Linked DNA regions of Arabidopsis thaliana. The protein of the gene in region 2 interacts with the protein of the main gene of each other region in a biochemical or structural test. Each region holds a gene or a part of one and is shown on either strand. Other genes may lie near its edges.

Region 1 (3,828 bases), on a different chromosome or scaffold from region 2:
TGCATCGTATGTTTTCAGGTGGATACAGAATTCGACCAAATATTGGCCTTCAGGTAGCAACTCCAACTGCATAATCTTCTATATTGCAACATAACTGATTCTCGTCTGTTTTAAAATTCTGGCAGACAAACACACAAAGCGTTCTTTGGAAAGTCAGATTTGTTCTTCGTGTGCATGTTAAAGCCCCTTTCTTTGGAGATCAACGCACAGGAGTCAGAGATTGAGGCAGCTCAGGTAACAGTTTTTGCTCCTCACTTCAACGACTCTCCAGTCTCATCCACTAAAACACTCATAAACCTCTTCTCTTTCTGAAAATGGGAATTTGGTGCAGTGGATGCCTTGGGAGGAATACATAAATCAACCATTTGTACAAAATTATGAGCTATTGAGGTATATGACAGACATTTGCTCTGCTAAAACCAACGGAGACTACGAAGGCTTCACTCCTCTCCGCGTCTCTGCACCTGATCAACAAGGCAACTTGTACTACAACACCCGCGACTTACATTCGCGCAATTGACCTTCTTTCTCAACAAACAGAGCTTTCCTCACAGATTCTAACGAAGCTGGTTTCTTTGCTGCCTCTCTATGTAAGCATTTTGACACTTGAATCACTACATAACTCTCACCAAAACATAAAAGCATCCCAAATGAAAACATTTGCATTCAATACAATGGCTTTAGTTACATACAAGATTCAATGAAGCAGATTCGTTAGTGAATCCTATTGTTCAACAAGCACACTTGATCTTCTTTACACAGCCTCAAAATCTAAACCCTTAATGCACATCTGATTTTACATCACCAACACCAATGTTCGTTCTATCACATGATAGATACCTTATATGGGTCGTAAAAATAGGCATGTGTATACATGTATTTATGTATCTATATACAGAGAGAGATCCACTTCACCAATCTTTGTTAAGTCCTTGTCCTACCGGAGGCAGCTCCACCTCCACTGTCGCTACCGCCACCTGTGGCTCCATACATATGGTTCTGCTGGTGAAGAAACTGATGATGTTGGTGATACTGCATCCCACCACCACCACCGTAGAACCCACCGCCATCTCCGACAGCATCTCTCTGATGCTCTCCGACCTCACCACCAGTCTGTGGCCTCCCTAGTCCAGTCCTCTCCCCTTCGATCTCCCTAAACCTCTGCAAGTAAACTTTCAATGGCTCAACATAATCCTCAAAACCTAGAGTAGTCATAGCCCAGAGCAAATCGTCTCCGTTGATCGTCTTCCTCTTCTCCTTCTGACACTTATCAGATGCTTCTCCGGTGACGAAGCTGATGAACTCGGAGACACACTCCTGCATCGTCTCTTTGGCATCTTTAGAGATCTTGGCGTTGGCGGGCAAGGCCTTCTTCATGATCCGGCTGACGTTAGCGATCGGCAAGAACCTGTCTTGCTCTCTTGGAGACAAGGAGGACTGTCCGTTCTGGTTGTTCCCGTTTTGCCCTCCACCGGAATCCCTGTCGGAATCCCCCATTTCTGAAAATTACAAGGAATAAAAAAATAAACTTTACTCTTTTTTCAAATCATTTCCATCAATGATTCGAAATCGAATTCAATTGGTGGTTGACTTGAGTGGGAAGACTGAAGCGAGAAAATTTAGGGTTTTAGAAAGAGTAAAAAGAGCAGGTGTGAATTGTTAAGTGTCGGCTGGTATTGTACACAGTGGTGAAGGAGTCGCCGGAGCTTATATAAAGAGAGGACGCACGACTTCTGCTCACTTGACACGTGATCTTATATGAACCGTCCGTTTACTGATAAGATTCTGACAACTGGATACGTGCTCGACCGTCGGATTGGAATTGATCTTGTTTGAGAGATAGACAGCCCTTTAAGGCTTTGCCACGTGTTGTGGACAGTTAGTGGACCCGGCACACTTTTGTCACGAGCCGACGCGCATAAGAGGAGCGTGGTAAACACACAGAAGAGAGAAAGATAGCGCGTGGAAAACACGGAGAAGATAGGTGGGCGTTAGGGAGACAGAGGGTAACTGCCACTCAACGACCCTTCGGTCAATTTTTCACTTCTTTTTTTTTTTGTGTTACGAGCGAATTGGGTTGGATCATGAGGGTGTGGTCTGTGGTGGGGTTCATTGCCATCAAAACTGCATCGACCAATCAGATCAGACAGCTGTTTGGAAACAAAAAGCGTCCCAGTTTTGTCCACTTTTGACGGTCTCGATCTTCTCCTGTGGGTCCAACCATTGTCGCTTTTCTAAGCGTGTGATTAGTTAACATTAACAATAATCACCAGCTTCCAGCTGTATTAAGCTCTTAATGACATAGCTAATACTTGTCCCACCTGGAGAATCCTAATGGGCCGTTAAGATAATCAAACTGAATGGCCCATTAAAGGTGATGGACCTATTATCAATATCTAGGCTTCTTTTAAGCCCATACTTTTTTCAATGTAATGAGGACTTGAGAAACTGTGGTTTGGTCAAAACCCTGCTGACTCCCACCATCAACTAGATATTCTGAGCACGTAGACACGACCAAACCCACGATGTTGAAGCCGTTGTGTTCAAAGCTGAATGTGTGCGAGTATAGTTGAGGGTAGGCTTGAATCTTTTGGTTACTGCATGACTACTCTAACTGAATTGGCTTAATTAAATAAAGAAAAGGAGAAACGTCACACTAGATACAAAAACGTTGCACCAAATATTATTATTAAAATAATACTTATACAAGGAGTGAAAGAGTAGGCGAACCACTCAGTAATTGCTTCCAAGTGCCGTATCTCTCTTTCTCTTTCGCTCTCGGTTCATTGTTTCATTTGGAAGATTCAGCTCTAAATTTGACCCTAACAAGTCAGCCACGATTTTTAATATATTTAGAAAAGATACAACTGAAAAGAAAAAGGCTACTACAAGGTATAAAGAGAGACACTGCCGTACAGAGCTGTGTGACCTGAAGCCACCACGCAAAGGGTCTCTTCCTCTTCTTTAGCTTCCTTCTTCTTCTCTATATATTCATGCTATTTTCATTTCTTTAACAAAATACAAAGAAAAACAAACAAACCTCTTTTCTTTGTTTTTAACGATGGGAAGCTTCTTCATCATCCGTTGCTTCTTGTTACTCTCTTTCTTCTTGTTCACCGGAGCATTTGGGAATAATTTATGGACCAGAACGGAAATGGTGGAGATGGCTGGCTACGGTGAACAGAAACTCTCCTCTGTCGTGATCACCGGATCTCTTCTCTGCGACACTTCACGTCCTCACCTTCACTCCATCCCTATCCCAGGTATTTGTTTCTCTACCTTTTTTCTTCATGTTTCTTGTCTTCCGTCCGAATATATACTAACATGATCCTCGCAGGTGCCACCGTTGCCATCAAGTGCCACACTGGATCCAAAAGGAGGTCCAAATGGATTAAGGCTGTTACTGATGAATTGGGAGAGTTTGAAATCGATCTTCCCTCCCAACTCCATGCGATTCCACACCTTGAAAACACTTGTTTCATCAAGCCAGTATATGTGCCTAGGCCCTATAGATGCTATAACACCTCTACCAATATACACAAACCTATCAAACTTGTTTCCTCTACCAATGGTTTCCGTGTCTACACCTCAGGGAAAATCAGGTTACAGGGCCACAGTTCGAGATCATAGCAAGCTCGTTGAGACAACATTTCAACCAAAAGATTTGAACACAAACAGCTGATTCTTCAAGTTCCTTCATGTGAAAAGCATTTTTTTTGTTATGGTCCTCGTTTGCTTAGCTGGCGCTCCAGTCACAGAACCGAGTTAGAGTCTCTCTACATTGTGTTTCATGTTCCCAAAGTGTAAGAACAAACAACTGTAAGCATC
Region 2 (5,091 bases):
AAAGCCTCACTTCTCTCATCAAGGATGCTATGCTTCAGCTGATGCAGCCTAAAATGAACACACACGATTAAGTTCTCGCGCGGAGAGGTATGAATGAGTTGGAACTTGTCAAGCACACTGATTTGGAGGTTTATGTTGAGGGACTGAGCACAACCAATGAATTGAGTACCATAAATGTACGCTGGTGGACCAACAGAGAAAGGTATGTCTTCGGTGAGATCGGATAAGACAGTTATTCGAACACGAGGAGGAGGTCCTTGTGGTATTGCTTTGAGCCTCCAGCAAAGTGGGCCATTGCATGCCGTGAGACACACCAATATCAAAAATATGAAGATCCTTTTTCTCTATGGGATCTTGTGCTAAAATCTGAAGGATAGCAGAGATTTAGACAGATGTCCAAGTCCAATCAATGGTAGGTGAATGAATGTAATCGTAAAGACTTGGTGTTTGTAGAAATTGAGAAATGATAACGTGAAGACATAATATATGAGATGATTTTGTTCCAACATGATTATTTGCGTTGGTCAACTTCGTTTGAATTATGAGATGTCACACAATATTTGACTAAAGCCAAAAGTGATTACCATGTGATCGGTCTTGTTACTAATTATGGTTTATATGATTACTAGTAGATATGATTATGTTGTATAGTCTGGGACTAATATCTTATCTCTTTTGAAAATGGACTATAAAAGGCAACAAACGTGAGCTCTAAAAGCAAATAATTATACATAAATCACAAATCCATGCAGATGCACTTAATCGAAACTAATAAACTTAAATCAAGTATTAAACAATATTCAGCAACAATCACATAAAATAAAATAAACAGCCAACGGAAAAAAAAAATAGTTGAAAGATTTCTTCTTCTTTTGTAGAACGAAAGCAGATTTATAAGATAGAAACTTAATGGATCAATGATTTAAATTAGCCAAGGATGACTTCCCTTCATTATCTCATCCACCACTTGCCGGAGCTCTCTCACATGAGGACTGAGACATGGTGGTTTGATGGATAACCTGAGAACCTGAATTGTGGGTTTTGCTGGAACATGTCGTTGTTGTTCCCGGTTATGTCCGAGCAAGATGTTGTCGAGACACTAGACACAACCCCACCCCTTGAAATGTCCATTTGCCGGAACTTTCCTGGAGAGTTCTTGAAGACATGAGGTGGAATCAAGAATGGAGGAGATAGTGAGGAATTTGATTCTTGATGCTTCTTTGTGTTGAGGAAACGTCCACCAGAGCCTCTAACTCTCTTTAGTGCATGGAGGTGCCGCGACTCGTGAAGATATGGCTGCATAGTTTCATACAAAAAATTGGTCTTGAGTCAAGACTCTTGACATAATAACTGAAACTTTCTGCATATAATTCTATTTATCAGAGTGGTGCAATATAGATAAACAAACATACTTTGCGGACTTTGATGAGCTTGTTCTGAGCTTCAAGCTTTGCACGGCGCTCTCTGCGGCGGAGAATGGCTTGGTACTGTTTTGCATTGACGAAAATTGGTTCGTTCTCTGGAATGTTGTGAGGCAAAGGCATTCTAGACGGAACCAACCCTCTGATTTGAGGATGCTGCACCTGCAAAGATTTCCATAACAAATACTTTCATAAAGATACAAGAAACAGTATTATCTTGAAATGTTACAATTGTGTATTACCGTGTGTTGTGATGCATAAGGAAAAGACAAGAAACCATTGAAATGTGGCGTTACATTGCCGTGTAAAGGCCAAGAAGCCGCCTGTGAGCATATATAGACATCATTAAGATAGTATTCAGCTTTAAACTCAGTCTCATCTTGAACTACTACAAGGTTTATAATAAGGTCAAAGATGATAGTCTAATAATTAACCTCAATAGGAAGAACCACTGAATCTTGAGACACCTTTGATATCGAATGACTTCCAATAGGATTTTCCGGGTTTTCTTTGTAACCTGCACCAAAACAAGAAACCATAGATAAGCTAAAATTAAATGCAGTTGACGCAGCAATGTGAACTCTTACTCAGGCGAAAAAGGTTAAAAAGTGGTGGACCTGAGAGATGAGTGACAACAATGTTGTGGCCATAACGATTAGTAGGTTCACTTAAGCTAGCAACTTCACTATATGATTCTCCTCCAGTGGATTGAGTAGAGGAGGAATCATAGTGCTGCATTTGAAAACCAGTTTGTTTCATCTCCATTGTCAAGCTTAAAGTGTTGTTATCGGTCAAGGATGATGATCCTTGGACATTTGAGTTGGTGAAGACAGAGTTATCCCAAGAAGTTGCAGGACAAGGCAATGAATCTTTGCTACTATGGAACTCTTGCATTGTCTAAAACATTAGTTCAATAAACGAACTAATCTCCAGACCATAGTAGATCCATCAAGAGACAAGAGATGTTTATTCAGTCACCTGTAATTCCAATCAAGTAAAAAAACCAGTCATGATATATTGATATTGCATTATTCACTTGGAAGGAATCAAAAACCATTCTTGATCCACAAAGAAAAAGCAACAAACAACAGATCTAAGAGAAAGAAACCATAGAGCAGATCCAATTATTACCATACTAAAATAGAAAGTAAAGATTCAGACTTTGAGAATTAACGGATTTGATTACAAATTAGATATAAAAAAAACAGAGAAAGCACAAACATGCAATTCCACTAACTTGAGAAGGGAAAATAAAACCAACCTTGGAACAGTATTGATCCAAACAACAAGCGAGAAAACAGAACATAACTAAAAAAGAAGAAACAAAAAAAGTATTTAGATTTTTTTCTCACCTATCACCCAAAAATGGTTTTATTTTTCTTCTCAAAGCAGAGTACAAGTAGTCAAATATAGCGACCAAATTTACCAAAAAATCAGAGGGAGAGAGAATCTATGGATTTGGTGAAGATGTAGAAAAAAATCATAAAAGGATGAGATGATGCATGTCTCCTTCCTCAAAACATGGCTTCTTTCTTCTTCTTTTTTTCTCTCTTTATCAATTTCAGCATTTCACTGTCTCTGCAAAATTGAGTAGTATTATTGGCTATGGCTAAAAAGCTTCACCTAACCTTTTTTTTTTTTTCTCCCAGTAGTACCAACTTTTTTGCCACCACTAATTCACCATGAACACTACCTTTTTACCTGGACATTAATTATTATTATTCGTTGTTTACATTATGATTGTGAACCACTCTTGTCTTCTTCCTTTTTTTTTTTCTGTCCTTATTAATTACTACTAGTAACAAATAATGAGTACTCCATTTTATCAACTAGAAAAAATAGTAAACTTTAAGATTAAAACAGAAAAAGTGGGTACAACTATGTATAAAGGCTTACGGTGAGATCAGATTCTGATGAAGTGAAAATGTCCCATTAAAGAAACAAACAGAGACACACATTCTGTGTACCTTGCTTGATATCTTTGTATTCACAGCCGCCACATCGCTGTTCCGAAATCCACGCGCGCGTGATATTCACGTCCGGTGTTTGGATGATGAAACCACGTCGTCACAACATAAGGACACACTTGCCTTTTTGTTTGACCGGACTTTTGGTTTTTCTCGCATGAAATAAATCAGTAATTGCATAACGATGAGTTTTGATAGATTCTTAAAGAGCATTACAATTACAAGTAAGGTATTGTAGTTGAATATTCGTTGTTTTCTTGTCTCATTTCGGTATCCATACTGAAAAGAAAGAAACAAACTTAGCAAATTCATCGGTTTTTCTATCATAGCGGATGACCGTAAAATATGTTAGTTGGTTTCGTGAAAAGTTGTTGAAAATACATCGAAAACATGATTCGCAATTGAACTAAGTGATTATAAGGTAAATTCTAGATGAAGATTGGTGACCCAACATCATTCGTAAGTGTCAAGCTCAAGCCACGGTTAAAATCTCCACTTTAAAGCAAAAACAATAAATGTTGAGAGAGACTCGTAAAAAAGTAAAAAATAAACAACTCAATGCAGTCACCTAACCTAATAATATATGCGACTGGTAAAACTAGGTTTGATTCCATTTTATTTTTTTCTTGTGGAATCTTAAAACATGAATGTGTTGCCCACCAAATCATATACACCGAGTCATATCGATCATCATGATAATAATCGCGAGACAACTACTTATAGTAACGTTTAACGACTTATTGAAAAAAGCATGCCCTACAACAACACCAAAAATGACTAGTTCTGCCTGCTTTGAAATCGTTGTTACTCTTCTATTCTTTTCATCTAAACCGCATCCTTTTTGGATTTTAGATAACAAAATCACCCAGAAATTTAGCACAACACACACAAAAAAATATGCAGACGACGAAGTAAAAGACGCATGAGAGCAACCTACACTCTAAATTTTATATCTCTGATACAGCCAAAAAAAAGGAGAGAGTGCACTCAGTACTACAGACTTCAGATAGATCGTTTTTTTTCTTTCTTTTTTTCTTTCTTTTTGTTTTCAACACGAAATACCAAAATCAGTAGGCGAATCTAAAAAAGAGAAGAAAATGGTTTCAGTGATTGGGTAAGGGAGAGTGGATAAAACCAGAGAGGGGTTCGTACACTTCCTTCACAAAAAAAAAAAACATCATCACCATCGGGTAGTAGTAGTTATTACTCTCGTCCTTTATTATGATATGGCATGTCCTGCAAAACACACACATACAGAGATGAGATTTCAGCATCCAAAAGTTTTAACTCTTCGACTATGTAAAAGAAAAATAAAAAAAGAACAAAAAGAGGGAATCTACTATTAGCAAAAATAATAACCTGCGGGTAAGGAGGAGGATGCATGTAATAAACTGGCCTAGGATGCTGCTGACCAGGTATCATTTGCTGCTGCTGCTGACCAGGTATCATTTGCTGCTGTGGGTACTACATCACAATTCCAATTCCAATCACCATTAGACTTTTGATGTTTTTTTTTTTTTTTTGTGTATGTGTGTGGGAATAGTAATTCAATAGGGCTTGTGTGTTACTGTCAAACCTGAGGTTGTCCATTTGGATGATAATAGGCTTGAGGATGATACATCATCTGTGGTTGGTTGCCAGGATATGGCGGGAGCTGCCAATTTTCACATGGTGAGTTTTGAAAACATAACTCGGTTGGGTTT

The links.
Region 1: the proteins of NF-YA6 (region 2) and NF-YB2 form a complex in vitro, tested with the Arabidopsis thaliana proteins (one study listed by BioGRID).

The regions. Positions count from the first base shown.
Region 1 is NC_003076.8:19,307,083-19,310,910, reverse strand, and holds NF-YB2 (nuclear factor Y, subunit B2), read right to left. Parts: upstream 1,685-3,828; 5' UTR 1,498-1,684; coding exon 925-1,497; 3' UTR 639-924; downstream 1-638. Other genes in the region: NUDT2 (nudix hydrolase homolog 2), read left to right, coding at 19-53, 126-234, 332-520; AT5G47635 (Pollen Ole e 1 allergen and extensin family protein), read left to right, coding at 3,062-3,263, 3,338-3,630. UniProt on the Arabidopsis thaliana protein: Component of the NF-Y/HAP transcription factor complex. The NF-Y complex stimulates the transcription of various genes by recognizing and binding to a CCAAT motif in promoters.
Region 2 is NC_003074.8:4,640,192-4,645,282, reverse strand, and holds NF-YA6 (nuclear factor Y, subunit A6), read right to left. Parts: upstream 3,354-5,091; 5' UTR 2,774-3,353; exon of another isoform or gene 2,769-2,773; intron 2,627-2,768; exon of another isoform or gene 2,400-2,626; 5' UTR 2,316-2,399; coding exon 2,039-2,315; intron 1,939-2,038; coding exon 1,856-1,938; intron 1,745-1,855; coding exon 1,664-1,744; intron 1,584-1,663; coding exon 1,413-1,583; intron 1,297-1,412; coding exon 982-1,296; 3' UTR 712-981; downstream 1-711. Other genes in the region: CID4 (CTC-interacting domain 4), read right to left, coding at 4,592-4,624, 4,748-4,852, 4,965-5,042.